Linked DNA regions of Astyanax mexicanus. The protein of the gene in region 3 interacts with the protein of the main gene of each other region in a pairwise test. Links are inferred from orthologs where the notes say so. Each region holds a gene or a part of one and is shown on either strand. Other genes may lie near its edges.

The links.
Region 1: the proteins of mal2 (region 3) and pbx3b interact in a two-hybrid assay, tested with the Homo sapiens proteins (2 studies listed by BioGRID). The two-hybrid records come from large-scale screens. The link is inferred for Astyanax mexicanus from reciprocal best matches to the Homo sapiens genes MAL2 and PBX3.
Region 2: the proteins of mal2 (region 3) and tpd52 interact in a two-hybrid assay, tested with the Homo sapiens proteins (2 studies listed by BioGRID and IntAct). The link is inferred for Astyanax mexicanus from reciprocal best matches to the Homo sapiens genes MAL2 and TPD52.
Region 4: the proteins of mal2 (region 3) and ptpn9a interact in binary tests that used the Homo sapiens proteins (3 or more experiments, as listed by UniProt). The two-hybrid records come from large-scale screens. The link is inferred for Astyanax mexicanus from reciprocal best matches to the Homo sapiens genes MAL2 and PTPN9.

The regions. Positions count from the first base shown.
Region 1 is NC_064419.1:16,525,306-16,533,777, reverse strand, and holds the start of pbx3b (pre-B-cell leukemia transcription factor 3b), read right to left. Parts: upstream 3,454-8,472; 5' UTR 3,342-3,453; exon of another isoform or gene 2,672-3,341; 5' UTR 2,154-2,671; coding exon 1,957-2,153; intron 1,132-1,956; coding exon 1,052-1,131; intron 1-1,051. UniProt on the Homo sapiens protein: Transcriptional activator that binds the sequence 5'-ATCAATCAA-3'.
Region 2 is NC_064410.1:44,216,028-44,224,580, reverse strand, and holds the start of tpd52 (tumor protein D52), read left to right. Parts: upstream 1-5,401; 5' UTR 5,402-5,443; coding exon 5,444-5,475; intron 5,476-5,919; coding exon 5,920-6,032; intron 6,033-8,553. Other genes in the region: zbtb10 (zinc finger and BTB domain-containing protein 10), read right to left, coding at 2,346-3,065.
Region 3 is NC_064413.1:15,461,379-15,469,290, reverse strand, and holds the start of mal2 (protein MAL2), read right to left. Parts: upstream 3,389-7,912; 5' UTR 3,246-3,388; coding exon 3,024-3,245; intron 2,607-3,023; coding exon 2,436-2,606; intron 1-2,435. UniProt on the Homo sapiens protein: Member of the machinery of polarized transport. Required for the indirect transcytotic route at the step of the egress of the transcytosing cargo from perinuclear endosomes in order for it to travel to the apical surface via a raft-dependent pathway.
Region 4 is NC_064409.1:42,591,540-42,599,001, reverse strand, and holds the start of ptpn9a (tyrosine-protein phosphatase non-receptor type 9), read left to right. Parts: upstream 1-4,317; 5' UTR 4,318-5,113; coding exon 5,114-5,146; intron 5,147-7,462. UniProt on the Homo sapiens protein: Protein-tyrosine phosphatase that could participate in the transfer of hydrophobic ligands or in functions of the Golgi apparatus.

The DNA.
Region 1 (8,472 bases), on a different chromosome or scaffold from region 3:
ACGTATGTGCTAAATTGGTGCTGAATCTGTCAGTGAACTCTATTTATAATATTGCAAGCTGAGGTGAGTCTATGGGAAAAAATAGGAATAAGAACTGAAATTTGCAGCAGGTGAAATACCATGAGATGTGAATGAGAATGTAAACATTTATTTGTGGGATTCTTATTGCTTAAGAACACCAGCGCTGCTTTGTCAAAAATGTTATATTTTGTCTTTTTCTATTTTTTATTTATCAAAACATATATTTTTTTTTCACACTGGTCAGGTGAGTACTTGTAGCCTGTCAGTTATGTAGACTGTGGGAAAGGTTTCTCACAATACTCCTGTTTAATGTAAAATTCAAATTCTAGTAGAAATGACATTTTTTTTTTTTAGAAATACATTATAAACTCCTGTTGGCTCAGATTTAATGATCTTTAGTGTTAAAGGAAGCGGTTAACACTGAGTGTCTGAGTCAATACTTAGCTGCATGTCCAATAGTGCCAATAATTTTCCAATAAATTGGCCACATAATGAGACTAACAACCACACGAACCGCGCTGCCCTCATTACCATATTTCCACAGGCGCAATGTAAATGTGGGTAATTAGAATTAAGCAAACAGCCATTGGAGAAAAAATATATATACAACTATATGTATATACTACAATACACACGCGCACGCGGAACCGTCTGGCGCCTTATTTAATGTGAACAATATTTAATCTCTCTCTCTCTCTCTGCGCGGCTCAGGCCGGACAATGCGCGTCTGAAGCAAAGTAAACAAACGGCTAAAGGGCTGCGCGCGCCTCAACCGAAAAGCACGAGGCAGCTGGAGACGGGGCTCGCGCTCCCGGCAGCTGCAGGCTGGCGCTGTTCTGCGCGCTTTGCGCTCAGCGGTTTGGGACCGAGCCGCAGAGGTGAGCAGAGAAAGCCACGCCGAGGGAAAACAAGACAACTATAGGAAAGATGGCGGGGTGAGATGTTTTTTAGTGGCACGAGGGTTCCTTTTTTTATTAATTGAGGCATGTCGGTGTAAGAGAAGCTTTTTGTACGGAATTTACACTCTTACCTGTTTTCTCTTTGATCTCGCAGAGCACGCTGAAAAGGGCAGGCTTCATTCGGTGGCAGTTCAGTCCGTGTTTCCTGTTTCAGTTTGGAACAAGACACAAAATTGGTATATAGTCACTTCAATTATTTTAAACGATTTTCTTCACTTATTGTGAGCCCACTTGACTGTGTGCTAAACTGAATGTACTTAATGTGTTTACTATTTGAAACCAAAATAGCCTAGTAAATGCACTGTAACTGTCACTTTTATTATTAAATGCCTCTTTGTTGCCTTTGTTACTATTAATATTATTATTATTGCACAATTTCAGATTGTTATTATTATTATTTTTATCTAATTAATATTAGTCACTGGATCTTATTTATTTATCACACTCAGCAATAAATGATAAGAGTGGCAGGACAGGACAGAGCTACAAGCGGTGAGGCCTGCCTCTATGGTCCAGCTACCGGACAGGGGGGATGTCTGTGAAACTTTTAATGAAATGCCCACAAGTGTTTTAGAGAATAGCTACAGAATGTGTATGGTGCATTCTTGGATGCCTTTGCTTGTTCTACTGTTTAAAGCATTTTTTAAATTACAACACTTAGTCTTAGAGATTACATTCTTTAGGGCAGGGTACTTTGTGTATTTGTATTTTTTTGCTGGATGTTTTACACATATAGAGACAGGTGACTTAGCTAAGAGACTTAAGTTAGCTAAGAACAATTCTTCCTGGATGTTTGGAGTTCTATTTAAAAAAAAACATTACAGGGATTAAAAAAACTTCCCCACATTACTACGTTTACTAACTAATAGCTATAACGTAAAGCCGGTGTAAGCTCTATGTATTATAAACAGCCAAACTAGATTTGATCTACACTTAAATCACTCAAACGCTCATTAATTTAAAGAAATGCACCAACTTTGCTTGCGCCTCGTCCAGACTTTGGTCGGTTATGGTCATGATCTGATGCAGAATGTCACCGATGTCTTGTTTCCTGCCGTCTCCATCAGTCCCGTCGTGTCCATGTGGAGGCGGCAGTGCCATGCCTCCCTGCACCGCGTGCGCAGCCAAATTCACCCCGCCGAGAGTCTGCATGATCCGCGCCTGCTCGTCCATAGTCCGCCGCAACCCGATCAATGCGCTTCTTACTCAGTCTCAGAGGAAGCTGGAGATACGCGGAATGAGCGCATGCAAAAAGGCTGCGTGACTACACGAGGAGCATCTGCGGGGCTGGTCTCCTCTCCGAAGCGTTGGATGTAAAGCGGGCTCGTGGCAACAAGGTGAACAGCACGCACCGCGACCACCACCAGCGAGGGAGGACTGCTGCTGTTCACTTTCTCACAAAAATCCGTGTAGAAATGTCCGTTAGCGAAATCTCAGCCTCTCGTAGAGATGTTGACTTGCTCAGCAGTGAGAGGACAGCAGTCGTCCGTTGAATATTGTCCGAGTCTTCATTCCAAACCAAACTGACTTTCTCTTCTCTTCGCAAAAAATAAAAAAATAATAAAAATAATAAAATAATATAAAAAAAACTGAACTGTTGTTGCTCCTTGCAGGTGGCTTGATTTTGTCTCTTCTTTATGTAATTTCTCCGTTCGCACTTCTTCAAAACTTGCTTGAATCCGCACTGAAATCTGACAGAAACAAACAAACAAAAAATATCCGAGTAAAAACAGCAGAGCAAACTGAATGGATGATCAATATTTGAAAGAAGAAAGAAAACACAAAATAACTGCTTTTCCAAATAATTTCCGAAAATGTGAACGAGCAATAAAATAACTAAATTAACCGACACTAGAAGCAACACTTTTAGCCTAAACGTGACAGTAAAAAATATAAAACGTAGAAAAAGTTTTTCTTAAGATGAGTAGGGGAAGAAAAAAATTAATTACACGCCATGAAGCGATGCGCAAAAATATCAGCGTGCTCAAATTTATGAGGCGCGCGTTTGGGCTGTGTGTGCTTTATGTTGTTTGATGGCAGCGGTAGTGAGCGATTGACAATGTGCCAATGCCACTCACTCAGTGAGGACGTGTCAGAGCTGAAGCTGAGCAGAAAAAAACGCTATAAAAATCGACATCAAAATGCACGCTCCGCCCTGCAGAGGAGGGGTCTGGATTGTCACTTCTCGCCAGAGCCTGGAAAACAAAATGCCAGCGCGCTACTAATGATACTAGTGATGATAATGACGAAAGGAGAACACCGAAAAAAGAAAGCTTCAAGTCCTACTTTGCGCGTGCCTCATTTAGAGCGGATGCGTCACATTCTAGACGAATTTTGCAGTAAAACGCGCGAAAGACATACCCGAAGTTTTATGTTGCCTGATTCTAAACTGATAATGGATTGCTCTGCCTCCTCGTTTCTCCACACCGTATCACGGTATGGCCGCCTCTACCAAGCCTGCCTAGCAGGGTAGCCGAGTGGAGGACATGTTTATACTATTGGAGCTAAAACGCTTTGAGCCAATCGCGGCGTCGCTTATCTTTGAGTGAGCGGCACAGTGTCCAATCGGAGCGCTCCGCTGCGAGCGAGCGCCCGCCCACCGAGCTCAGGACCGTGCAGCGAAACAGCAACTTCTGATTGGTCGTTGCCACGGGTGACACCTACTGCCCAAGCAGGCGGCGCTGCGCAGTGCTCCTCTGCAGTTGCTATGGTAGCAGACTACGAGGAGATACAGTGACGTTTCCGCGCTTGCTGCTGGCGCGCGTGCGATGGGGCTGTGCTGGGTTTCCTGCGAGAACACCCGGTGACTTTTCCTGCTGTCTTCAAATACACGGGTCCTACGTTTTGGCCTGTTGCTGTTGTTGCTCCTGATTTTTTGCCAGAAGAACTGTCTTCAGACATTGAACCAAACAGAACAGAACCATAGTATGGATTCACCATATAGATTTGTAATATGAGGTGCATGATGTTTCCTATTACACAAACCTTTTTATATTTATTCTGTTAATGTATTTTTCGTCTAAAATCAGATCAATTAATTTTTAAGTATAGGTAATGAGAAAATGCAACAAACTCACTTGCACATACTGTATTAAACTTTTTATGTCATTTTATTTAAGTCAATTATTTCAGTCATTATTTAACAGTCTTAATGTTCATACAAATATCAAATAAAAAGCAAGTCTTGCACTTGTGACATGACAGACTCTGCTGTGATGGGACTAATTACCAAGACTGAGGCATGCAGACTGTTAATTTGGGTGGAGTTAGAAAGCCAATCAGACACCTCTCCTAATGCAGCAGCATGTGAGAGCACCATGCTGCAAATTCCTAAAAAAAAAAAAAAAACAACAAAAAAAAAAGAACTGTGCTTCAGAACTGGGATTCTGGGCACATGCTACGACTCCGAGGCCCTGTAGGCCTGCCTTCATCACACACACACTCAACAAGGGGAATTAACACTGGGTAATTAAAGAGCAAAGAATCAGATATGCGGAAAATCAAATCTTCCTCTGGGATAAACCATAGGAGAATAAAATAAACAAAAAAAGGCTCTCGAATGAAAATATAAGAAAGCCTGAAGCTTGAGAGGCCATGTTTTGTATTCATTACTTTATCACCACTACACTCAAAAGCGCTCTGTATGCACTGTGAAAGATATTGAGGATAGAAAAAGAAAAAGTCTGATGTTTCATTTTGTGTTATCTGCAAAGAGTGAGAGAGCAGGTGAGTCTGGCCACTGTAATTAAAATGTTAAATTATTATTATTATTATTATTATTATTATTATTATTATTATTATTATTATTATTATTATTATTAAATTTAAACAACAACGCCCTTCCCATTTTAACAGCTATTTTTATTTTACATATGCTGTGTGTTCAATCTGAAAAATTTATATACAGTGCAGTAGATGGCTTTTGTTAACACTGCTGCAATAGCCACCACATGTACATGTTCAAATTGTGAGGAATTATTTATATTACCTATGTGTTTGCTACAGTTTGCTAGAGTTGTGTATGTACTACTTACAGTGTTTCAGTAAATATTTAAGATAAAAAATAAATTATTGATGTTTTAAATAAACATGTAAAACGAGCATAACCAGTTATTAATTCACTGGGAATTACAGCTATCTAAAATTGTCCTAAAATTATGCAAATCTTAGGTAGAATCAAGAAAGCATGAACCTGTTTTTTATTAAATATTAAATGTTGTATGACCCACAATACGATGAAGTGAATTATGTAGAAGCATGAACGCAAACAAGACCATCTCTCTCTCTCTCTCTCTCTCTCTCTCTCTCTCTCTCTCTTTAGCAAGCTGTGTGGTTCTGTTCGTTCTTATTCACTTGACCTTGAAGTATCAACCCAACACACTCCTGAGTTTAGTGAATGGGAGTCCCAGACCTACTGCATTTATCATTGCAATACTGAGCTGTCAAGTCGCACTGCATAGCTGTCAGACAGGGCTCAAAGGAACAGCTCCACATCCTCTCCTCTGGTGCAGCACATGATTCTTCATTGCATTACATTGCATGCCTTTTCACTATTGTTTCCAGCCATGTGTCAACATAATTCATTTCCAAGACCATGACAGCAAATCTCTGCGAATAAGAAAATAAAGCTTGATTTTTTTTTTTTGTTTCATAATATTATATTTACATGATGACGAGGGCCTGCTTGATATTATGAAGTACGGATATCCCATAACTCTGAATGAGATATTAAGAAAGGTGCATGCTGAATTTTTTTTCAATGTTTTAAAAAAATTCAGGTTAAACCTGATTGTTGTTGCAAACTGAAGAATATTAAATGTTCTCTTTTGTCGCTTTTAAATGTGGTTTAATTAGTTGTTAGTTTACTTTAAGCATTAAACACATCCATAGTAGCCTATATGAATACTATTTATATAGATAGATAGATAGATAGATAGATAGATAGATAGATAGATAGATAGATAGATAGATAGATAGATAGATAGATAGATAGACCCATGCATAATAAATTCATGATTAATTATCATGCATTTCCTCTCCATGTAAATGTGTTACAATTAGTGATAAAATCTTCAACCTGTGACAGATTTAATTGGCAGTTCCAAAACAAACAGCCACTCCTCCTATACCATAATACGCTCGTCTCTTCAAAAACAATTAAGTCTTTGAAGAGTGAGCAGGTTGTCACCCCCACACAGCCCTTTGCACACTGTACATGAAAGTGTGTCATTTGTTGAAATTGATATTGCTCTTTTTTTGCGATGACAGCCAAAAACGACCCACAGGTGTCTGAGAAACCGGTGACTGTGTTGTCATATTTCATTTAGGCATCCTTCTGCAAAGCCATAATTACCTAATTAGCTTGTTAATTAGGAGATTAGCATTTATTGATAGAGTGGCTTGCTCAGTGGTAAGACGAGGAGTGGTGTTTAAGTAGGGGGAAGTTATGGGCGTTCTCCCTTAAAGAGAGCATCCCAGTGTATTCCCCACAGTCTGCCTAATTCAGGAGCCATGTTGTAAATACTGAGGAGATAAAAATGTAATTTTATATAGTTTGAAGACTGTGAGTACCGCATAACATCAGTACGACGATAATGTCTGTTCGCATGCCAAGTGAAACTGATTGATATAAATTCTACTGTAAGTACACATGAAAAAAAAACATACAGAAATACACTATATTAAATTTAATCATAGCCTTTACAGATCTTTTTTTTTTTTTTACAAAAGCAAAATGTCAAGCTTTCCCTGTAAAGTTTCTCAGGTAATTTATTACTTTTATGACACTGGAAAATCTGTTTAATAGATTAAATTCTTCATTAACATAGCTAAATTCTACATACGTTTTGGCAAAATCTGACTCCTTTAAGTCTCCCACTGCAGTGTTCATTCCCTTCCCAGGCTTTTTTTTTCACATAATAAAAATAAAGAGAGCATCCCAGTGTATTCCTCACAGTCTGCCTTATTCAGCAGTCATGTTGTAAATACTGAGGATATGAAAATGTAATTTTACTTATTTTTAAGGCTGTAAGTACTGTAGAAAATATATATTTACTGACTTGAAAATATGGGAAGTATCTGGTACATCACAATAAAACCTGGTGCACTGGTTTCCTGACACATTCCAAAATCAAACATAGAGAAATACACTATATTATTTATTTTTTTTTTTTAAAGCGAAATGTTAAGCTTTTACCTGTAAGTTTTTCCAGGTCATTAATTACATTTAAGGCACTGGAAAATATTTTTAATAGATTAATTCATTAACATAGCTAAATTTTACATACTTGTTGGCAAAATCTGACCCATTTAAATCTCCAACTGCAGTGTTCATTCATTTAACAGGCTTCTTTTTTTCACATGATGAAAATAAGACGAGGAGTGGTGTTTAAGTAGGGGGAAGTTATGGGCGTTCTCCCTTAAAGAGAGCATCCCAGTGTACCCCAGTAACTCAGAAGTCAACAGCCCTGTTGTAAATACTGAGGAGAATAAAATGTAATTTTATATAGTTGGAAGACTGTAACAAAAAGTACAATTTTGAAAGATTTTAAACAATGTATTTAAGAGCATTCAGTGATGTTCAGGAGAAATTTATTTTGCATTTTTTTACCACATTTTTTAAACCACATTTATTTTGTTAGATTTGACCTAGAGGACCAAATTAAAGCATAATGATGATTTAAAAAAATTAAGCACTCTGGCTGTTGTGCACAACTTTGTAACGTTACAAAAAGCTAAAGCACACACTTGCACGCACACTCAGACACACTTGTACACACTCAGCTGCTCCTCTATGACGATAAAGCCCTCCCTCCTGAAAATACAAAATAAATTATTGACTTATGTAAGTATAATTGTTACCAATTGTTATATAATGTTACCAATATTACATCCTTTATTTTATTTACATTTAAATATGCATTATTAAACAATTCAGTCTTACAAAGAAAATATGTGACTAATCTTATTTTTTAAGCGTTTGACTGAGCTCTTTATGAGACCGCACCACTATGCACATTTTAAAAGTACTGTTCCTTTTTTTTTTTTTTTTTTGTTGCAATTACACATTCATACCAGAGAGGGCTCTACATCTCCAAATCCCAGAGAGATATGATTTAGATAAATATTGTAGATGTTTGAGGCATGTTGAATCCAGGTGGTATGAAAGAACAATACAATCTGTCAGCATTTTTGTAATGAGTATTTACTTTAGTAGTGGAAGCTTTCATTATCAAAACACTCTGCTATTGGTCTTCATAAATCTAAAAAAAATGAAATCTCTTAATCTCTGAAAACTTCTAGAATATAATCAAGAGGAAGATGGATGATCACAAGCCATCAAATCAAGCTGAACTGCTTAAATATTTCACCAGGAGTAAAGGCATAAAGCCATCCAAAAGCAGTGTGTAAGACTGGTGGAGGAGAACATGCCAAGATGCATGAAAACTGTGATTAAAAATCAGGGTTATTCCACCAAATATTTTTTGATTTC
Region 2 (8,553 bases), on a different chromosome or scaffold from region 3:
AGAGGTTCTCTTGTTTATTGTTTTTCTAAGAAAAGACATCCTAAACACCACCCTGCACTAATTTACCCCTTTTAAAACCATAGCATTAGCTTACCTTTCCTACGCCTGCCTGAACTGCTCACACTCCTAAAGGCTTTCCTAACTGGCCCAATGACAATTACAATGCAAAAGTAAATATTAAAGCAACTGCGGGTAGCTGTAAGATATCATGATAGATGTTTAAAACAAACACTCCTGCAGAGAAAAGGGAGTTGTGCCAGGGCTGATACTAATCTAAAACAGCGTCTTAACCCTTCTGTTGCTAGGGAGGAGCCCATAATCCCTCCTACTGCTTTCCTCCCTAATTAGTGAAGGGTATAAATTGAGTTAGAGGAACGCTTTAAGTCATCCTGATTAGTATGAACAACTGGCTGCACTCGCAAGGCTATCCTCAGGGATTTTATTAACAAACGAATCAAATTCAGTACGGACGGCCATATATTCAGAGATTCGAGTCGCATGTAGAATTTAAACACATTCCGATCCACCATTCAGAAAGCATGGACAACAGTTTGTCAAGCATTTATTGACAATTTCCTGCTACAGGGCTGAAGGCTCTTCTGAATAATGTGAATAATGGGGTCCAAACGAGGACATAGATTAAAGATTCATTATAAAGCGCTAGGCCTCACCACAGCTCCAAACATACTATCTGAAAATGATCACAGGCACACTATTGATCTCACTTCAATACTGGGTTGAGGAGGGGGGGCACGAGGTCATAGGGTCACATGCTAAATTTATTTATACTTGCCCTCATAGTGATCGGCCAGGTGCATGTCGCACAACGGGCATAGCAGTCACAGGACACTACTCGATTTAGGGGGATTTTGTGTGGACAAGCCGGGTGACGAATCAGCCCTGGATCTTTGAGATGGACCTAAAACAATGCCTTTGATTTAGGAGCCCTAAAGGGGAAGATGAGATGTGCCAGAGGTCACTTTTACAGCCAGGGAACAGAGGGGGGGTTGGGCTGGGCTGGGGCTCCCCAAAGCCTGCTGGTCGAGCTTCTGCCATCACCACGACCTCCCTGGTAATCAACTCAGGTTGCCAAGGCAACTAAGGTTGATAATTGCAGTGCAATGCATGCATGGAGTAAACTGGTCCAATACAAAGGAGGGGAAGTGCACACACCCTTAGCTCTAAACCCAGATTAAAGGGGTTACGCTCAAATGTGACACATAATTCAGTCGGGTGTCCTTTATAAAAAGACAGTTTTTTTTACAGGTTATCTTTAAACAAACCAAGACTATAAAGGATATGTTTATATTTAAGAACTATTCCATTATTTAAGCTGTCATAAGGTTAATATCAAAATGTACAAGACAGAGTGAAAAGTTAATTATAATTACACCTAGGGCTTTACAATATGGATGAAACTAATGTCACATTGACTCATTTTGGTTGATGCAATATCATCCTGATAACAATATGAAAAACTGCTAAGAAAGCCCACAAAAATGAATCTGTCTGTTCTTGTAATATACACTGTAACGTTAATGAATGTCACTCATTGAAATATGCTGTAAATAACGTAGTGAACACTGGAATATTAAAAATGTTTTTTTAATCATACAACCGTTACTTAAACATTTTATATCGTGATATATGAGGATACTGAATTATTGTCCAGCCCTAGTTACACTAACTTACAGTTTAAAACGTAAAGTAGCTAACTAGATATATAGTTAGGTAACTAGACATATAACCTAGCCAGGTTACACGGCTATCAAATATTTTCTAATATTATCGTAACGTTAGACACTAACCTAGCTAACCTACCTTTAAGATAGTTTATTAAAGAGTTTAGCTCACTCTCTGTAACCGTTTAATCCTCACACAGTTTTTAAAGAAGTCAGTAGCCAAATTCCCAGTAACGTATATGTGAACAGCGCTGAAAAGAGACGATTTGAAGACTGTATTCAACTGTCACTGATAAAAATCACAAAGCCAGCTAGCTGGTTTCTCAGGACTGGGAGTGAGCCAGGAAGCAAGCTAGCTAGCGGTTAGCTCGTGTGGTACAAACCCTAGGCTAGGTCAGCTAGCTAGCAACGTTACAATCAGCAGCGGTAGGCTAGTTAGCTTAGCATCTACCTAGCTGGCTAACCTTGCTAGCTAATGGTCTATAGCAGCTCATACTGGTCGAGGAAGACGACAATATTAAAAAGGTTGACCAAATATCCAATATAGCCAAATGTATTAAAGTTTTAATCATATTTTTACAGTATCCTGAGAACGTCCTGGGACCCTGCTAACGTTGACAAGCCCAAACTCAAAAGCTCCGTCCGTGTCGGGAGTAACTTTACCTGTTTGGTCGGGTCGTTCCTGCCGTGCTCCGAGGACAGGTGATGTCTCAGCAGCAAGGCCCGCTTGTAGTTTCGGCTGCCTTTCACCAGCTCGTCGCTGTTGTTAGTGGCAATGTTGTGACACCAAGAGCAAGACATGAGTCCCGACTCTCGATTAAATTTTAGCCAAGGAAACTCCTGCAGCCAGGAGGCTTGGAAAAGCGAGTGTTTCTGGAGCAGCGTCTGCGGTCTCATCTCTACCCAGGGCTTCCTGGCGCCCGCTTCTTCCCGGTCCCCGCCGCTCCCTGCTTCGCCTCGGTCTCGGTCGTCCTCGGAGCCGGTGGCAGCGCCGCTGCCCGCGCCGTCCTCGCTGTTAACGCCGTTGCCTGTCGTCCAGCTCTCGCCCTCCTCCCCCGCGACGTTCGCGTTAGCCGTCCAGCCGATGCTGTCAACGCCTTTACCGACTGTCCATCGACCCCCTTCCGGATCTTCCTCCTCCTCTGCCTCCGGCTCTGTGCTGTCGCTGACGGACCCCCCGCCCTCCACTTTCCCCGGCGACGGTCCTTTCGCTCCCAGATCCCTGTCCTCCTCCTGATCCGGCCTGTTCCCGTTTAAATGCCGATCTTGCCAGGCCTGGGCCTCCCAGCTGTTACCGTTGCTGCCTCGGACACCACTGGAGCCGGTCACGGCTGATCCACCTCCTCGGAAAGCCAGCGACCTGCGGTTTCGTTCTCCGGACATTTTTCCTCAATAAATTAGAACCTACTTTCCCAACGATCTTTATCAATATAATTTACTTTCAGCCCGGCGAAACACGATTACAAATAATCGTTGTTTAAAATGAAATATTCCGCATCGAAATGTTGTGTTTTTTCGCGCTTTGGCCTCCCGGGGAGAGTATGTAGGTTATGCGGAAATAAATAAGGGTTTTAAAGGCATAATGAATTTGAGGGTTTCTGGCTCCGTCCGCGCAGGCCCCGCAGAGGTCGAATGGCAACGACTTTCCCCACAATGCACCTCGCTTCGAGTGAGGGGGGTCGTGGGGCACTTAAAGGAGGATGGGTGGGGGGGTAACTAGAACAGCGAGGGGGGCATTTGTGTTCGCCGAGCGCACCCACAGCTCCCTCCCCGAGCACGCGTTTCATCTTTGGGAGTCGCTTGTCTTGAACTAATAAGTGTGTTGTCCGCCGGGGAGCGGCGTTACTGACTCACTGCGCCGTGTTTGTTTTTAACACAGAGGGAAGAAAAGCAAAGGACAGGTGAGGGGAGAAGCGAGCAGAGCGCAGGGCTTAGTGCACTGTGTTTATTCTTACAGGTAGTGACAGAGGGGACTTTTTGCTCCCTCCCCCTCCCCAAATAAATAAAAAAATAGTATATACTATATAAAAGTGACTTTTGAAAAAAGTGAATTATGAAAAAAGAACAATGCAACACGTACGCACAGCCTATGGATATGGATAAACAGGGGTATATATGTTTTAAAATACACGTCTTAATTAAATTTAAATGTAAAAAATATATAAAAAAATAAATAATTTGAAGTTATTTTGTCATAATACGTTTTATAGGCTGTTGTGGCAATTTGTATTTTACCTAGTCGTGTATGTAGAAATAAAAGTACGTATCTGTATAAATGAATAATTCCTGAATTAATTGTAAGCGCTAATAAATGTTTTTTGTGGAATTGAAACCGTCAGTTTAGTACTTGTTTAGTATGTCACCCAGCAGGTGTCGGGCTTTCCTCTATACAGCATCAGCTCGGTCACAGCTGCGGTTATTACAGAGCCACCGTGCCCACTGTAGGAGGGTACACACACTGATATATAGTTCCTAGTAAATCGAGTTTTTATTTAAATATCTAAAAACCATATATCCAACAAGTATGCTCTCTTAAACACTGTAACACATTATATATTAATATTAAAAACTGCACAGATTTTTGTTAAAACAGTATAAAAAGAGCAACGACATGCCATATTAATTTAAATTAATGGAATAAATGTATGCACACAATCACTCATTTATTGTTTTCTTCATTAATCAACTCATCCCCAACACTTCAAATCATCAAAAATGAGTGGAACAATGTGAAGTGCCAACTTAAAGTGTCTGGATGCACTTATTAGATTTTTTTTCAAACATTTGGAAATATTGCATATTTTATAACATATACAAATTGGTCTTTGCACGGGCCAAAATTAGAGTAAAAAAGGCAATGCCTGATCACCCAAGTTATGTAGTGATAATCAGAAATAGGCAACCTTCTTCTGTTGTTTAAATACACATTTGTGTTTATTATTTAGAATAACTATTTCTCTTGTCCCTCCTTGAACAATTTTAACACTTAAAATAATATTATTTTGAATCTTTTAAATGTGAGTGCAGCCACCCCCCTGGTCAGAGTTGTAAATTACTAATTAAGACAGGTTTGTACACTTGGCTTGTCACTCTATTACTGTACTTGTAAGCAGATGTTTAAGTGTCAGGTTGATGAAAGAACATGTAAGAGAGCTTGAATGATTGGGGCATTTCAGTGTTTTGCCTAAAGCCCCAAAAGTGACTATATCCACCCAGATCGACAGACAGATAGATTAGAAGACTCCTGAGGTCTGATGAAAGCAGCTTCCTCGACGATACGACGAACATAATTTTTCGAGCCTGAAGGTGAAAATAAAGAGTTTAAGCCTTTGTAACAAGATTATTTTCGTGCCGTAGCGCCACCTATCGACTCAAGTGCACTAAAATATATATGTGGGCTCACCACACCCTTTAAGAACACAGAGTTTAGACAGCTCTCTTTCGTTCTCTCGCTGTTTATCTCTGTTGCCCACTCTTGTCCTCTAACCGTTTTTGGGGTGTGGCAGCGGGAATTACCATTAATTTACCATTAAATACCAGAAACTTTTTAAAACCTTTTCTGAAAACGTGCAAATTAAAATGCAGATTAGTTAAACACTGCTGATAGCCCAAGTGACTTCTGCGTGCCTAAAAACAGTGCAATCAAGAAAATTTGAGATTCTACCTCCTGTCATTTTTTGCATCGTGTTTTCTCACAGAGCCCCCTGTGCACTCTTTAGAAGATTTTTTTCCCTCGGAATCAAGGGGTTGGATTTCATGATATGGAGTTTCAAAATGTGACGATAGATTTCCTGTAAGTTCGTGTGGCAAAAGTTCACGTTCATTAAAAACATTAATTGTTGCAATGCAAGCAGACAATAAACGTTTACTAATTATTATTATTATTATTATTATTATTATTATTATTATTATTATTGTTGTTGTTGTTAACCAAATTATTAATGTTTCTCATTTACTAGTTTGTTTTCCTTATTCAAAAAATGTCCATTGAACCGAAATTAATATTGCATTGTTCTCTATAGAGTAATGATCATTATAACCTGTAAATGTATGTGTGCATATTATTATTATTATTATTATTATTATTATTATTATTATTATTATTATTATTATTATTATTATTATTATTATTATTATTTGCACGCCGCACTGAGGTGTGTGTGACCACGTGCCCGTTTCTTTTTGTTTACATGCGTGCGTGCTCTGCGTGATGACGCCACGCGCGGCCCCACCTCAGCAGTTTGCAGCGCGTGAAGCTCCAAACTCCTCGCCTGGAGAAGAGAATCAGCGAAGAGGAGAAACCGGCTCCAACAGCAGCGCTTCACAGCAGCATGGAGGAATCAGAGCAGGGTAAGTTACAGAAAGTTGACTTGTGAAGATATTAATGCGCAGTTTATCCCGGGAGACACTGTTAAAACAGCTGTTATCTCCTGTTTCTGTCTGTCTGAAGTTAGCTGAGGTGGGCTAGCTAGGTCAGGTCGTAGCCATAACTGGCTAATGGACCCCTGTTGCTAAGTTTTCTGCTGGAGACTATAAAGAAAACATTATAGAAAGTGCATTTCTTCAGGACCTGTGAAATGTTCCTAGAAATGTGCCATGTTTTGTTAAAGTACGGAGCAATAACAAAGAAGGAAGTTTCAAAACTCTTTTTGTCTGTTTGACAAGATTTTTTAGATACTTCAGAGCAAATAACGCTTATCTTTTGCTGGATAGAGTTAGCATCACAGCTTAAAATACTTATTTTTTAAAAGATATGAAACGAATTGTTCACTTTTTGTTTAATAGTTTAATCATGTTTAATCAATTCACTGCAGCCTGCAACCATATGTTACGTCCGTTCTATTATTTCATAAGGGTCCTTTGGTAGCTAGCTTAGTTATTTTCTTTTATGAATTGACAAATTTGGCATATCATTCACGAAGTAATTAGTTTAACTAATGTCTGTTTTTTTAGCTTCATAACTGTTGTGCCTTATTTAGAAACGGTGCATTTAACTGGAACTACCACTGCAGATGTTCTAACATACATACAGTATGTGATCATAAAACTGTCATATGGTGTGTGTGTGTGTGTGTTTGTGTGTGTTTGTGTTTGTGTGTGTTTGTGTTTGTGTGTGTGTGTGTGTGTGTGTGTGTGTGTGTGTAACTGATGCTGTCTGAATTTTGTGTTAATCACTGAAGTATCTGAAAATCCAGTTTTGCAATAACAGGAGCTCAGACTGAGATTATCTCAAGGGATGGTTTGAATTGCCTCTTATGGGGTTTTCTTGTGTTAAAAGTCTCAGATTACATTACAGGCACCGATTCTGTTGCCACTAAGTGGTACAAATGTAACTTGGTTTGGGTTTGTGTAATCTGTATTTAATGATTAATATTTCTGATTTATTTCATAATTGATAATGTAAGGCAGTCATGGGCTGTCTAGAAGAGTAAGGACTTTTAGTAAGCCATTTAGATTAAAGATAATTTGCTTTTATTTTTGCATTTCCTGGGACCTTTCTCTCCTGCTGCTACTTTTATTATAAAATTGATCACATTCATTGCTGAATAATTGAATTTATGTCTGGTAAATGAAGTGCTGTGGCCTTCTGCTTTTGTGCCCTTTTGTTTATCCCTTTGAATACAGATTGTGTTTCCTGTTGAAAGTTGCATATTTCTGATGCTCTCTTATAGACAGAAATTCTGTTTCATATGATTGCAGTATCTCTGAATTTGTGGTTACAATATCCTTAACTGGGTGTCAGATTTAGGGAGAGCAATATAAAATAACAATAATAAGTATTTATACCACAAAAGATATTAATACTTAAATAACTCAGATTAACTGTCTGTTTAATTTAATAGTGTAATTAGTGTGGGAGGACATATTGATATTTTATGGGGGGGGGGGGGGGGTTGTAACAAAATTACAACCCTTAACCAACAGGCCCCACCTGAGGCCTACATGTAAGCCTAGCAGTGCATTTAGTCTGTTCACTAACTCAATATGTAGAACACAATCCAACTGTAGCCTGTATTGTTTTGAGGAACAGGTGGATGTTTCCTGTCTTGTTTGTTAGGCTGGATGATAAATGATCTTTCCTGGTGTGCTGATAATGCTGTCCTAAAGTGTTGCTTATGATAAATTATGAAATATGAAACTGTTTTATGGAGATAATTGTATTTTCAGCAGTTAGAATCATTACGTCACAGCAAGCATCATACTTGGTTCTCTTTTCACCTTTTTTCTGTCCCACTCTACTCTTCGCTCCTCAGGAGGCAGCTTATCATCATTCCTGTTAGGTGGCGGAGGTCCGGTGAGCAGCCAAAGCCCTCCTGTGAGGCTCTCATGCAGGGAAGCCATCTGTCCATTCCTTGTCTTTTTGCATACTCACATCTCCCTGCAGCTTCTGCCACAGGACCACAGAGTTATTTTTAGAGCAGACTGCAGGATGGAGGCTGAGACACCTATTAGTTGTCTGCTGTATAGGAGGTATTTAGGTATACATGTCACCATTGAGACATTTGCTCTAAAGGGAAGCTTGTGTTCATGGCTTGAACTGTTTGTAGAAAATAGCATATCCTATTATTGACTGTTATATCTATATCCTGCTGGTAATGCACAATATTTTTTGTCATAATGTTAAATATATAGAATATCTTTATATTTACTGTAAACTGTGCACTCAGGGTGCACAAGTTCATTAATGCAAGCACATTGCTGATATAGATGTGCAAATGATTCATGCACACAGCTTGTCTAGTCCCTGTAGGGAAATACTGCCATTACAATAGTACTCCTTGGAACATGTAAGCCCAAACAGATATGGCACCTTGTTTTGGGCTTGAGGGGTATAAAGCTCACCAGCATTGACCTGAGGAGCAGTGGATTG
Region 3 (7,912 bases):
TAGGTAGCCTAACATATTAATTAATTCAATAATTTATTTATATACTGCCTGGCCAAAAAAATATTGCCATATTCAAAACTAAAATGTAAAATTATTGGCACATTTACAATCCCATGAAATACTTACTAACACATATTTCGTCATACAACCAGTCCAAAAATATAGATAGATATAATATATATTTTTAGAGTGTACACTTGTACAAAACTCTCACTGGTGTATACTCCAGTACCTTCAGTTGAGAAATGAAGGAGTGAAGTTTCTGACTGAGAGTGCTCTCTCTCTCTCTGATATGAACATAACCTGGAATCGAATGCTCATTGGGAGATCCTGGTACATGTTTCCTGGCAGATCTTGTCATCATCATTTTCTTATCTCCTCCTTCGTTTAGGATAACAATAAAAATATACTGACAAAATGTCAGGATTCATGGGACTGGAATTGTGAAATTGTGAATTGTGAATCAGGGAGCATGAGATCATCATTTACACACATGGATTGAGAGTTCACCACAGAGTCCAGACCTAAACTTTATTGAGAATCTTTGGGATGTGCTGGAAAAGGCTTTGTTCAGAAGTCAGACTCTACCATTATCAATGCTGCAAGATTTTGGTGAAAAATGATTGCAAAAAAAATGCAACACTGGATTGAAGTAAATCTTGTGACATCGCAGAAGCTTATTGAAACAATGCCATAGTGAATGTGTGACACAATCAAAGCGTAAGGCGGTCCAACGAAATATTAAAGAGTGTGACCTTTTTTTGTGGCCAGGCAGTGTATTAAAACTCAACTCTGTATTAATGCAATTAATTAACAGGATATCAGCAATAATCTGTGCTTTATCTCTGCAGCAATTAATTATTAAGGAATATGAGTATAATGTGAAGGACATGTTACACACAGATATGTGCAGGACTGTTAAGCTGTGACCATTAATCATGCTCATAAAGCAGACATTACTCAGCAGCAGGGCTGGAACCCGGGCCAGGACTGAGGACTGGCACGCCTTTTGGCCACTTCCACTCTAGTTTCACTGCAGACGGAGCTCTTTGTCAGATTTAAGGAACCCAGCCAACAGCATGCTAACTGAATGGGAATCAGTTTTTGTTTGCTCAGTTTTGAATGAGTTCCAAGTAACTGTGCCATCATGGGTATTCGTCACAATGTTATTGGACTGGTGTGTTTCTGTGATACTCTATTTAGAAGTTCCTTTCTTAGAAAGCCTATAGTACTATAGTAGTAATGGTTTATTGTGTACATATATTAAATATTGAATTCCAAATATCAATGATTGGTTGGTAGAATGTTTTCTAAATGTTACAATTAACATCATTAGAACATCATTTTAATTAACATTGCTGCACTGTCACTTGTGTCAGTGTTTTAATTTGTTAGTTTTGAGAATGTTACTTTTAAAGTTTCCATAATGTTAATATTTATCTAACTGGGAATGTTATAAAGAAAGTTCTAAAAATGTTGTAATGCAAACCATTATCATGTCTCATGTTTTCAGAATGTTCCTGGAACATTATTTCTGTGACATTACAGGCTAACCTTTCTGGAACCTTTTCAAAACATTGCTAAACTTCCTTATAATGTTTCCTGCAAAAGGTATGAAAAGTATTCACATTCATTACTCTGGTAGAAGTATAGATACTAGAGTTTTAAAATAGAATTAAAAAAATGGCATTAAGAACAGATTAACAGAACAGAAAGATTAGGCCATGCCTTAGGGGCATTTTTTGCACTACCCACCCCTTCAGAAGCATTTATCTAAAATCCATAATGAGTATAATGTTATATTAACATTTTTAGGATGCACTAGGCTCACTTTTTCATCTGCATATTTGCCCACTGAAAATAAATGTATTTTAGTACAATGTAAATATATTGAAGAAGCTTAGTTGGGACATTTGTCTCGAGTTCTCTTGAGTCTCGGCATGGATCATCTTCATACTAAGCTACATACGTCTGCTATGTTCTTACTGGAGTGTGACGGTGTGACGTGTGTAGGTGTGCTGGATCGTGTATAAACCAATAGTGTTGGAATGGTATATGTTTATTCTTCTCATCCAATCACAATAAAATTCACTGTATCTGTCTTTAAATATAAAGAGATTTATCTGGATAAGGTTTTTTTTTTTTATCAATGAGAAGCCAGAATTAAAACAAGCTGAAATTAAATAGAGTAACAAGGCTATATTTAAAAAGTAAGGAGAAGAAAATTCAGATTATTGTGTAAACATGTAAGAAGTAAAAACATAACTATTCCAGTAAAGTATAGATAATCAACATTTCTACTTAAGTAAGGTAACAAAGTATTTGTATTTTGTTACCTGACACCTCTCTGTGTCAGGTAAGCTGGAGTCCAGCAGTGTCCAACAGTATAGTAGGGAAATGAACACTCCATGTAGGAAGGAGTTAAAGATACTCACCATGAAATTCCAGTCTGCGTTGATTTTATCAGCAAAGCCCAGCAGAAACAGGGCGAGGTACACGGAGGAGCACACAAACATGGTTACGGACACAAACATCACCCAGCCCTGCAGAAGAGGCACGGGGACATTGGACGATGCCACTAAGATCCATACTAACCCGCCGAAAACCTAGCAGGAGGGAACAGGAGAGGTACAAAATGTTCTATTAGTAATCTGATCAGAGGCCTATTCATCCATCAGAAGAAATCACTGTGTAAAAGTTGAGATGTGTCCTGAAATACACACTTCAACCTGAAATGACTTAGTAAAGAGTTGCACAGCATGAAATCACTGCTCAATCTGAGTCTATTTGATTATGAATTAGGTGCATTAATGGTTTAGGTTGTGTTTGCTACTCTAAAGCCATTCTTAATCAATCATTCTTAATAATCCATAGTAGTGCCACAAGCAACATTTATATACTTTATTAAGTATTGCTCAGCAATTCTGCTCTTTTCTATTCAGGCATTTCTTCAGCATGACTATTTTACACTGATCAAAAACATGCAAACATTACACAAGATTTAAAATTTAACACACACTTACGATCTCCAAGCATATCAGAGCCCCCGAGTACGTTCTCAAAACGTCCAGCCCGAGCGGTAAGGATATAGTGGGCGTTGGGAAAGAGGTAGCGGCCGGGTTCGTGGCTTCAGCCATCTCTCTCAGAGGCTCAAAGGCTTTCCAGAGAACGAGTGTGTTGAAGTGTGTAAGTCCCTGGGAGTCATGTGTCGCGAACCGGTCCGACAGGTGTGCAGCCACTCCCATTCATGGCTGAAGACCGCTGAGGACAAACCGCCATCTCAGAGCAGCTATCTGCAGTGCCTCCCTGTCACTTTCTTGCTTAGCCTTTCACATCTTCAGTCCATAAAAAAAATCGTTGTTTTATTTGATCTCCTCTCTTTTCTTTCTGTCTTTTTTTTTTTTTTCTTCTGTTGTTTAACCAGCAGCCTGGCAATGTCACCACGAGTTAATAATTAACCAAAAAGCTTTGGGGACACTGCTCCTGGGTAAATATTAGGTTATGGCATTCCAAGGAGATAAAGAGTGGATGGAGGTTATATATATATATATATATATATATATATATATATATATATATTTATATATAAGTCTCTGTTAGTGTGATGATGAAGGTTGTTTCATAAATCAAATTAAAAGTTTGGCCTGCTAAGCCAAGGTTATGTACATAGAGGCTTCTATAGATGTTTGCTGATATTGTAAGTGCGCTGCTTATTGGCTCATGAAGGAATTTTACACCAGTGCTTTTGGCTTGTTAGAGATTTAGTGATCTGTGGCTTATGTTTAAAATGTCTAGAACAGAAAAGGCAGATACTGTGTTGCTCTGTTTTAATCTAGGTTACGGAAATTTGGAAATTTGCCAGTTGCAGTGTAGGGTAATTATTGATTGCCTAGATACACCTACCCATGTGTCAGTGACCCTTTAAACAGCACACACACACACACAAAACCACACGAGTGAATCAGTGAATAACATTGATTATCCCATCATAATTGCACCTGTCAAGAGCTGGAATTTATTAGGCAGGAAGTGAACAGTCAGTTCTCAAAGTTGATGTGTTGGAAGTGGAGCTGCCAATCAGCTGTAAGGTATACCACCTTATCTGTGAACCATGAAGGTGTGGGTGTCAAGACATACTGAAGCTTTGCACGGCTGCCACAGATGCTGGTGCACTTATCTTCACTGATGGCAGTAGCGCACTGACACTTGACTCAATTTCTAACAAAAGTCTCCAAATTTACTGGGCGGTGCTTAATCCTGCAGCTAAATAATCATCCCAAACATACTGAAGAGCAACTTTGTTAAGAGTCTTCACATTCATTTCTCAGATAGAAGTGTATATAACAGGGGTTAAAATACTTCTGCAGAAATTAAAGTAAAAGTGTAAAAGTACAGGTTTCAAATTTACTTAAAGTATAAAAGTAAAAGTAAAGTAAGGGGAAAATGGCATTAAGAACATAAGCTTAGGCTGTACCTCAGGAGCCTATTTTTTCTAAAATGTTATATTAAAATGTTAATGCAGGGATGTACTAGGCTCATTGAAAATGAATTCATTTTATTCAAATATTCAATTATACTAAAGAAGCCTAGTTGAGACATTTTGCTTAAGTTCTCTTGAGTCTCTGCACGGATCATCTTCATACTAGGCTACATACCTCTGCTATGTTCTTGCTGGAGTAAGACGTGACATTAAGGTGTGATGGATCACAGTATAAACCAAAGCGGAGTTGGAAATGTATAGATAACCATTTCTACTTAAGTAAGATAACAAAGTATTTGTACCTCGTTACTTGACGCATCTACTGCTAAGACATTAAAGGAGTTCCTCAAAATAAAAATTAAAGCTGTTTTAACCAGTTTAAACCTGATTTAAATTAAATTGATTATGTTTTCCATTTACTGAGCAGACAACTGAGGAAAAAAGGACCAGAAACAAGCAAGAGTAAAAGATGGCTGCATTGTAGGCTTGATGAAAATCTCTGTAAACTGCAGACCTCCGTCAGTCAGTGAAAAGATTGTCAAAAACTTACTTAACATGACTGCTCTCATGTATATATTACTGCAGATTTCCTAACATTATACAGCTATAGAAAAAAATAAGAGACCACTTAAAAATGATGAGTTTGTTTCATTTTACCAAATTGAAAACCTCTGGAATATAATCAAGAGGAAGATGGATGATCACAGCCATCAAACCAAGATGAACTGCTTGAATGTTTGCACCAGGAGTGACATAAAATTATCCAAAAGCAGCGTGTAAGACTGGTGCAGGAGAACATGCCAAGATGCATGAAAACTGTGATTAAAACTCAGGGTTATTCCACGAAATATTGATTTCTGAACTCTTAAACTTTATGAATAAAAACTTGTTTTCTTTACATTATTTGAAGTTTGAAAGCTCTGCATTTTTTTATTATTTCAGCCATTTCTCATTTTCTGCAAATTAATGCTCTTAATGAGAATATTTTTTATTTTGAAATGTTGTCTGTAGTTTATAGAATAAAACAACAAAATCAGAGAAACTGATTCAGAAACTGACGTTGTCTCTAAGTTTTCCCCCAGAGCTGTATTGCCCTAAATTTGGGCTACAACATTTTATTTTTAATTTCAACATGGTAAAATTGTGATGCATGTAAATACCCTTAAATTAATATCTGGAACATGTACTTTACTCTCATCTGAGTGGAATGTTTTAAAATACTTTTGAAGTATGTGTGAGTGTGCATATCAAAGAAAGAGGTATTAATCTTTAAAGGGCAAACAGTGAATGTGAATAAATACACTGCTTTTGTTGATTGATATGAAGTCCTCTATCAGAGTTTTATCAGCCCTGATCTTATCAAGACAGACATTTAGACTGTGACACATAATGTAATATAAATGAAGGAACCTATGAGTGAAATAGTAAATGAATAAATCAGTTAATCATTTACTTTCCACTCTTATCCTTCTATAATGTAGCCTCATTATAGATGGTATGACAGAAAATTGTGCAAAATGTCATGTTCTTAAATCAATAAACCTACAGAATCAGTTAATATGCAAAAGCTGTGGGAAACTGCTAATGCTAACCTAATGAACATAAATTATTATTCTTCATTTAGAGAGAACCATATTACTGTACTAATATTGTGGCAGTGTTGGCATTGGAGTTGTGAGGATTTAGGAGCTTTCAAGGAGCTCCCAGCACATTTAGTAGTTGCCCTCTTTCTTCTTTGTTGAAGTTATTGGGCATATAACCCAACCCCAAATCCCTAATAATGGGTTAAGTTATTGTTTATACATTTAAGTAAAGTTAACAAGACTTAAGCCCAGAAATCTTTGCTCATTATAATGAAAAGACTTAAAATTATAGGATTTTCCCCTTTGCTTAATTAAAACAGCAAGTAAAGCCCGAAATTTGTGTTTATTTTGTTTAGAAATTTGTAAGTAAAGTCAACATGACATGACTAAGCACACCTAAAAAAATATTGTAAGATCCCACATTTTACAAGATACTGAAGAAAATATCATGCAAAGTCCTACAGAAGGATTACACGGAACGAGCACAGTCACTGTTTATTTTAATCGTGAGGCAACTGTATTTCATATATTATGTTTATAAAACAGTTTACACCCATTTCTTGGAAATAGGCAAGTATTAAACCGCCGATATAATACCCCTTTAAACTGGTGGCTAGCTATACCGTCTCATAAAAAAAAACTGCATGGGTAAGAGTTGTGAGGAATCTTTGTATTTTGATTTTTTTTTTTTTAGAAACACGTGGCTACAATGAACTGTGTTGGCTTACAGCCATTTCTTGGAAGTAGCTAGTAGTAGCAGGAAGTAGAAAGTAGTGTTAACAACCCCCATGAGCGGACCAAAGTAACCACGTTAGCATGCTGTTATGGAAACACCACGTTAGTTAGCATCCCCCATGAGCGGACTAGAGTCAGTGTCTTAGCATGCTGCTATGCTAACACTGGGTTAGCGACCCCCGCGAGCGGACCAGAGTCACCGCGTAAGCATGCTGTAAGCACACGTTAGCAACTCTGATGTTTGGTTAGAGAGAGAAAAAGGGTCTTCACTGATGAATCGCTGTTTAAAAAGAACTATCATACTAAAAAAATAGGACTATCGTTTGGCCTCGTTATTCCACCCCTGGTGACACTACAGTATAGTAATATAATGTAGACATATTCTATATATTAATGTGGATTTAATATATTAATTTTATTTTACCAGACCTAAGAAACCTTAAGGAATTGCACAGTCTGTTGCCATTCTGTTACTAGTAAATTAATACAGGAAAAATTCCTGCATCTAATAACTAGTTACATATTTGCCCAAGCCTATTTCTCCTACCTATATACACACCATTCAGCCCCTAGAAACTAAGACAGATACGACTTCACATCCATTTATGTTGGTCTTTTCATTTTTATTTGAGATATTAAAGACAAATATATATATTTGAAATAATTTTAAATTCAAGCAGAAGTACAATAAAAAGAAATCACTGTATGTAGCAGACTTTCCAGATCCTTTATCTGCTTCTAGGCATATTTTATGACCATAAGTCTGCTTGTTTAAGATGATTTTTTAAATTATTTTTAACCTGCAGTATCTTTGCACTGTGTAATTACTACCAGTACAGCAAGCAAAGTCACATCCCTCAAAAACTGCTGTATAAAAAACACTAATTAATGCCCAGGCAGAGCTGCAGCCTTCTTCAGTGAGTCAAAGCTGTCTAATAATGTTTTTCAAACTTAAATCATTTAAAAAATATTATTTTTGGCTTTACTCTAATGTGTGTGCCACATGTCCATAATCATATGCAGAGAGAGAAGAGTGAAAAGGGTGTGTGTTCGCAGGTTAATGTGCCAATTAAATGTCCATACTGTCGTCTCTCATCACACTGTAGCGCATTAT
Region 4 (7,462 bases), on a different chromosome or scaffold from region 3:
ATTATGTGAAATAGGGAGGAGGAGGAAGAGAAGGAGGATAAGGTGAAGTGCCTGCTGACCCCATTAGTTGACTGAAGGTAGGAGGATGATAAAATCACTTTCATAATATTTATGTTTATTTTAATGCTCCCTCCCAGCTAATGCCTGGCTTACTGCCTGATAAAAAAAATCTAGATTTTTTGACAGTGCATAACCTGTTATACAGTAAAAAAAAAAAAAAAAAAAAAAAAAAACAGACTGTGAGGGGTTTGTTTTTTCCAGTGTCCTTGTGGGATTCCTCCATGTACTTTAGTTTCCTTCCATATTCCCAAAACACATGGTAGTTGAGTTGGCTATGCTAAAATACCCCTGAGGTGTGAGTAAGTAAATGTGTGTGTGGTACCCTGCAATGAACTGGAGTAGACCTACCCACTCGATAGGGTACATTCCTGCCTTGACCTCAGTGATTGCCAGTAGGTACTGACTAGACTGGACCACCAAATAGCAACATGTTTTTGAACTGCGGTCATTCGACACCTCAACACAGTTGGGGGAGAACACTAATACCCCATTTACATGTGGCTCCTTCATGTGACTAGTATCCAAATAGATTCTGATAGGATTTGATTCACATGTATTTCCATTTGGTAGTCAAATGCATCTTCAGTCAGGCCGACTGAAATCTGATTGCTGCCGGTTATGGAATATGCAAATCTATTCATTGCACAGCGATTACAGTATAACTGGTGTTTCTGTTGTACTTGGAGAAATTTGGGTTGATGAATGTGTCTCAGAAATAGAGATGTGTTTAAACTGTTATAACGTGGCCCATATCTGGAGCCTATGACTTTTTTATGTTACTATTACAATGTATATTATTATTTTTGTATCCCACCATTGATAAACTGTTTGGCCAGTTTGGAAAGTATTTACATCAGAACTAAATCGGTTTATGCTGCCTTAAAAACATTTATGTGTCTGATGTCAGGTGGTGGTTCTAGGTAGCACCTTAATGAGGTTAAATGAGTATTCAGTGTGTTTACACCTTTTGTGTTTTTAGTCATTTAAAAATGTTCTCCATTGTAGATTAACATTAAAGTCCTCCAAACTATGAAGAAAATACATGGACTTATTTAGTAAACAAGTGTTAAACAAACCAGAATGTTATTTATATTTCAGATGATTTAACATAGGCACCTCTTGCTTCGATGACAGTTTTGCACATCTTGTTAATTACTTGAATTTCTTGTCCTCTTAATGTGTTTGAGAGTTGTGTTGTGAAGAGGTAGAGTTGGTATACAGTAAATAGCCCTGTGTGGGTAATGTTAAGAAATTAAGGATAATCACAAAGACCATTCATCAGGACTCTCATCAAAAAGACCAGGCATACCTGTCAAGTTTTAGATTTAAAAATAAGGGATATTTTCCTCTGTCCGCTTAAAGCCGTCCCACCAGCCCAACGAAGGTTCAGTATCCCTTACATGTTAAAACAGGTTTACAAAAAATCTAAAATAACCACATGTGAAACACTTACACTACAATTAGATTATCAGAATCTGAACATGTTGTGGACATTCCTACATATGTCATTCTTTTAATACAGCCAAATTAAAAACCCTTTTCTATATATTTTTTTTATTTAAGATTTCATGTCTTTTTTGTAATAAATGCACTCTTTTATATGATATATTTTTTATTTATTTAATGGATTTAAAATTGAACAAAGAGTGCACAAATTCTGCAAAATGACTGTTGGTGACCTAAAAATGGTATTATGAGCTTTTACTAAAAGGACATGGACCAGATATATTCCATCAGTAAAAATTAGTCCTAAGGGGCCTACGCAATAATTTTTAATTAATACTTCTTCCTTTTGATCACTCCACCCCTGATCAGTTCAGTTAATGTCGGTCCTCTCCACATTTCTAGTTAAACTGAGTCACAAGCTGTAATTTTTTTTATTTTAAAAGGTTTAATCTGTGTGTTTTATTTCGGAGTATTTTTAAGCAGCTATCAGAAAAATCTCATCACAGTTTCCATGATTAGACTACCGTTACCTTTCTTTTAGAAAAAAGCTGCCTGAACTCACAGCGAGGAGGGCGGGGCTTCCCCACACTGACCCTCCTTGCAAGCTGATTGGCTGTTTTTCCTGAAAGGCGGGACTTTTTCCTTGAACCGGCTCCACGATTGGTTAAGAGACACAGAGCGGTCAGTGCCCTGTATCCTCAATAATATATATTTTTTTATTTTAATAAAATACGGGAAATTTACGGGAAAATACTAATACGGGAGGACAGCGGGAAAGAGGAGTAAAATACGGTAGTTTCCCGGCCAAAACGGGAGACTTGACAGGTATGAAGACCAGGTGGATAAGTTCATTAGAGGTACCACAAATTAAACAGCACGTGTGATTAGAGTATTTTGGTTTGTTTAACCCTTTTAAGTTACTACATGATTCCTTATGTGCTCCTTCATAGTCTGGTTGACTTCAGTGTTCATTTACAATATAGGGGGGGAAAATGTAATACATTGAATGAGAAGGTGTCCAAACTTTTGAGTGGTACTGTTTGAGTGGTACCCTAACCCTAACCCTAACCCTAACCAAACATTTCTCTCCATTGTACTATTTGTGATTTCCATACATTAATGGGTTTTAAGAAATAGGGCTTGACAACAAACTAAACAAATTGAGAAAGATGGGAGAATGAAAGAACACTAATTACTTAGAGTACTGTTTTTGGCAAGACTTTAAAATAAAGGTACATCAATTAAAAGTACTTACAACAAGAATAAACATTGTTAAGTGGCTTAGTAATGTCTCGACTAATTATTAATAGACAGTAGTTAAGACATTATTAAATATTATAAAATGTTAATTCTGTAATGTTGTAAATAATAATAAATAAAGAAGTTCAAGTGTTAAATGATTAATAATGTCTTTATTAGTGTCAATTAAAAAATAATACTGTTTATTAATGTACAGTTATTGTAGAGGGGTACTCTTTAGAGGGGTGTCTTTTAAGTCTGTCCTTCTGAAGGAGTTTTATGTGTGGATTTTTCAGGATGTTGTCAGTGTGAAAACAAAGCAGTAAGGAGGAGCTCTGTGGTGGGCGGTGCTGGATCTGCCAATCATGTTGGTCTAAAGCATACAGACCCGCCCACACAGAGAGTCATCTCACTGTAACTTACCTTTTTATTGAACTGGGTGTTCTTTTTCTCACTTTGCTAATTTAAGACGAGTTAAATCTAGTTTTACATTAAAACATTATCTTACATTCTGCGCCCTATTGCTTTTTTGCACTCAGACTTTGGACAGAGAGAGAGAGAGTGTGTGTGTGTGTGTGTGTTTACAGCTGCAGTCTCTCTCAGTATGGCGGAGTGGTATTTTTATGAATGGAGCAGATAGAAAGAGAGAGAGAGAGGGAGAGCAGGAGGGAGGAAGAGGAGGAGGATTGAGCCAGGCTGCAGTGTCTGCGTGTGTCCGGCAGGGGGGAGTTTGAAGCTGGAGCTTTTTTTCTGAGCTCCATTTCCCAACTAAAGATAAAAGCCTGAAAACCGCAAATATGTATTGCTGCAGACTGGAGCACCTCCAAAGAGGAGGGGCTTGCCTCCAAATGGGAGGTCCACAGCTCCAAAGGGGAGGGGCTTACCTCCAAGTGGGAAGTCCACCGGCTCGAGACTGTGAGCGCGTTTGTGCGCGAGACCTCTCTCACCTTCCGTGATTATTATTATTACTATTATTCTATTACAAAGAATTTAATGTTATATAAATTGTACTATCACATTATATTATATTATATCATATTATTATATTAAAGTCTACATCGCAAGGCAGGGAGACCTCACCCAACACAGCTTCATTTTCTGCCGAATGCCACAAAAAAAGTCCTCCGTGATTAAAAGGCTCATGGATGTCAATAAATATTTTAGTCAACAATTAATGATTATTTATATTTCTTAAATGTCAAATAATATACGTGTAGTGTGTATGTATTTATAATATTATTGGCTATGAATAAACAACTGCCTTTATTATTTAGATCTTTACTATTTTATAATTTGACAAATTCACAGCATGGCAAATGTTTAAACGTTTTTAAATAAATAAAATGTGGTTGCAATGTGCACAACATGCTTTTAGACTCTTAGAAAATGCATTTTAAAAGAAAATAAACATTTAATAAACGAAATAGATTAATTAATTAACTTTTGGGGTTATTTACAAGCACAAAACGTCGTGAAAAACACCATACCGCCTAACACCAAGCACCATCCTACTTGGAGGTAGGCTCCACCTGTTTGGAGGTATGTTCCTCTCCTTTGGAGGTGCTCCAGGCTGCAGCTATACCCTTCTCGAAAACCGACGCGGGGCGTCCAGATGTGTTAGTAACTTTTATCCGCCTCAGAGTCGGAGGGACGCGGCCTGGCCTCGCCTGTAGCTCGCCGTGCTTCTGGTCGACTGTATCTGACCGCTGGGGAACAGGGGGAGATGAAGCCGAGCGCTCGGTCGGGCTAACACAACATTAGCTAGGCTAGCTGGAGATTTTTAGAGGTTCGCCAGCAAACGGTAACCTGGGTTGCTTATAGATAGTTAACTAGCTAGCTAATCCAGCGTTAGCTATAGCTGAGTAGCGTCGGGATGCTGGTGTGATTGGTTACCGCTTGGTTACCGTTTTTGTGCCGTTATGGCACGGAAGGTCGAGACTAACGTTAAGTTGCTGCTGCGCATCTGAATTCCAGCAGAATTTCGCTCTAACGCTAACTAGCTGTTAAGTAGCTCGTTACGACAGAATGCCAGGTCTCTTGCTCTTATAATGGCACCTATAAGCTAGCTAACTAAGTGCTATTTGTCTAGGTTAATTACCCAGCGTAACGTAGTGTATTTTTTCTTCTGTTTACCTCAAATCGGCTGTATGTCTCGCCAAACCCGATGGCTGAGTAGCTGCTGCCCTCAGTAACCAGGTCTAGTTCAGTCCAGCAGGTCTGAGTGAGATCTGGAGCTGCTGCTGCTGTCGCGGTTTAATTTCTCCTAATATCTACAGTCAGTCGTTTCCCTCTCGGACTTACTGACGGACCACTCAGGAGGAGAAAAAGAGAGAAGGTGCCTTAAATACTTAAATACCACAGAGGAAGAATGGCCGCCACTTTAACAGCAGAGGAAGAGCAGGTAAGTGGAAATAAAAATAGCGAGAGGCAGAAACACATTAACTGCTACAGCTGTCATTTTCTAAGGTCACAGAATATTTAACTAGCTAGCTAGCCTAGTTAACCTAACTAGTTAGCTGTCCAAGGTTATTTAATGTTAAACACAGGTCTAAGCGATAGAAACTAGTACAAATATAAACCCTCTGTGGCATGAATTTTTATTTAATCTAAAGGAACAAATGAAACACTGCTTAATAAGAAGTCTGACTGCATAATGTGTCCTGATGCAAAAAATAAAAAACACTTTAATCTAAACAAATAAATGAACAAATGTTAATACCTCAAAACATTTTACATGTTGATGCATTTAAACATATTTTATCATTTTATCTTAGATTAATTTAAATTTAAACATGTTAAAGCATTATATTCATCTTCTCAACTACTAGCATTGCGTCCCAAAACCAAACCCACCTCTAGAGAGAATGTCCAAATTGTTCCCCCGCATTTTATTTATGTAGTTAGGCTTGTCTTGTGATATATTAAAAGAAAGAACATTAAAATTAAAGAGTTTGTGTAATCACAAAAAACTGAGGGCAACACCAAGCCATAGAGGGTTAACATAAGCACAATATTTAAAGATATGTTCTCAGTACAAAATATTTATTACAGTACATTCTGACATGCAGGTATAATAAGCTAACTTGTTAACCTACACAGGAGTGGCGGATATTATGGAGTGGCTGAATAATACCTGGTCTTCCTACAGCTGACTAATACAGTAATTTATATTCAAAATGTGCTTGATGTTATCAAGTTAAACAGAATTAATGACACACTTTGTACTGAAATGTGCTCTTAGTGTTAATCTTAGTGTTGAAATCTATGTTCTCCTATCCATTGAGCTCAGAAAAGTTAAGTTGAATGTGTTCATAGACACTCAACAGCATGCTCCTAGTAAGGCAATGTGAATCACCAGGAATAAGGTCATGTCCATGTATTATATGATAAATCAACATATTTTTCATATTTATTGTGACACACTTTCACACATGTACTTCTACACATCTGACAGTAGTGAAACCACTCACCTAGCTATTTGAGGTTTTAAGACAGCTCAGACCTCACCCTGTGTGAGTTAAGAGAGAATGTGCTGCGTTTGTTTGTGTGTGTGTGTTTGGTGCATGAGAGGTCGGTGAACACCAGGAATCAGGGCTAGATTTCACAATATTTCCACGAAAAGAAAAGAAAGTTTCAGTTTTCACTGTCGGACTAAAATCTTCCAGCCTGAAGGACACGTCCCTGCGTTTAGGCTGGAGGTTCAGTTTGTTGGGTTAAGAGATGTAGTTCTATTTTAAACAATTTTGAGTCTGAAGGTTTATATATAAGATTTCAGGGGAACCTGTGGTTCTGTGACCCTCAGTGTGTGTCTCCCTGAATAAGAAGGAGCAAAAATACAAGATTAAAGTGAAAATAAGTGAGAGTCATGCCTCTGTGCTATTAGTCCCACCAGTAAACGGTCAGTGTTTCCATAAAAAAAGAGGGCCTCAAACAGGAAATGGCCATTATATAATCCTCGCCTGTTATTTACAGTGCGTTATAAAGGAGAAAAACACCACCACATGCAATAGAGCTGCCAAAAATGCTCAATGCTTCTATAGTACTTTGGGTTGAGCTCTAGGTCAATAAAAATGTGGTAAATGAGCCTGTCTTTGCACTTTCCGCTTACTGGCGACTTGTTCAGGAACCTGTTCTGAAGGCTTAAAGAAGGATCAGTGGTCCTGTACCTGAACAAAGCTCTTCTGTCATTTTCTTTCCTGCTTTTGCAGCTCATTTGAATGAGGCCCAGCCTTATCGACCATCTCTTAGACTCCCTCAGCTCACCTCACTGGGAGAGAAACAAAGCTGCGCTGTTATCTTTCGTCCCTACAGTGTCTGTCTGCCAGCCAGTTAGTTTGTGAATGAAGCTCTCTCTTCACTCCAGGGACCTGCATCCACTTTGCCATCTCAGGAGAGGTGCAAGGCAGTGGGCCTTATCTGGGATGTTGCTTTTCTGTGTGTGTGTGTGTGTGTGTTTGGGAGTAATTACATCTCAGGCTGGACATGTCCGGAGCTCAGTGGGCCCGGAGGGACTGGCAGCCCAGCAGCTCGGTCGTTCTCTGAGGCAGCTGCTAAAAGCATTTCCACTGAATGAGGGCTCTGCTCTGCTGCAGGACTCTCACGGGGGTGGGAAGTGGTGGGGCGGGGGTATCTCCCAGGAAGCATCAGGGCGGGGGTTGGGTGGGTGAGTGTGAGAAAGCAAGTGACAGAGGAGTGAAAGACAGAGGCAGGCATGGAT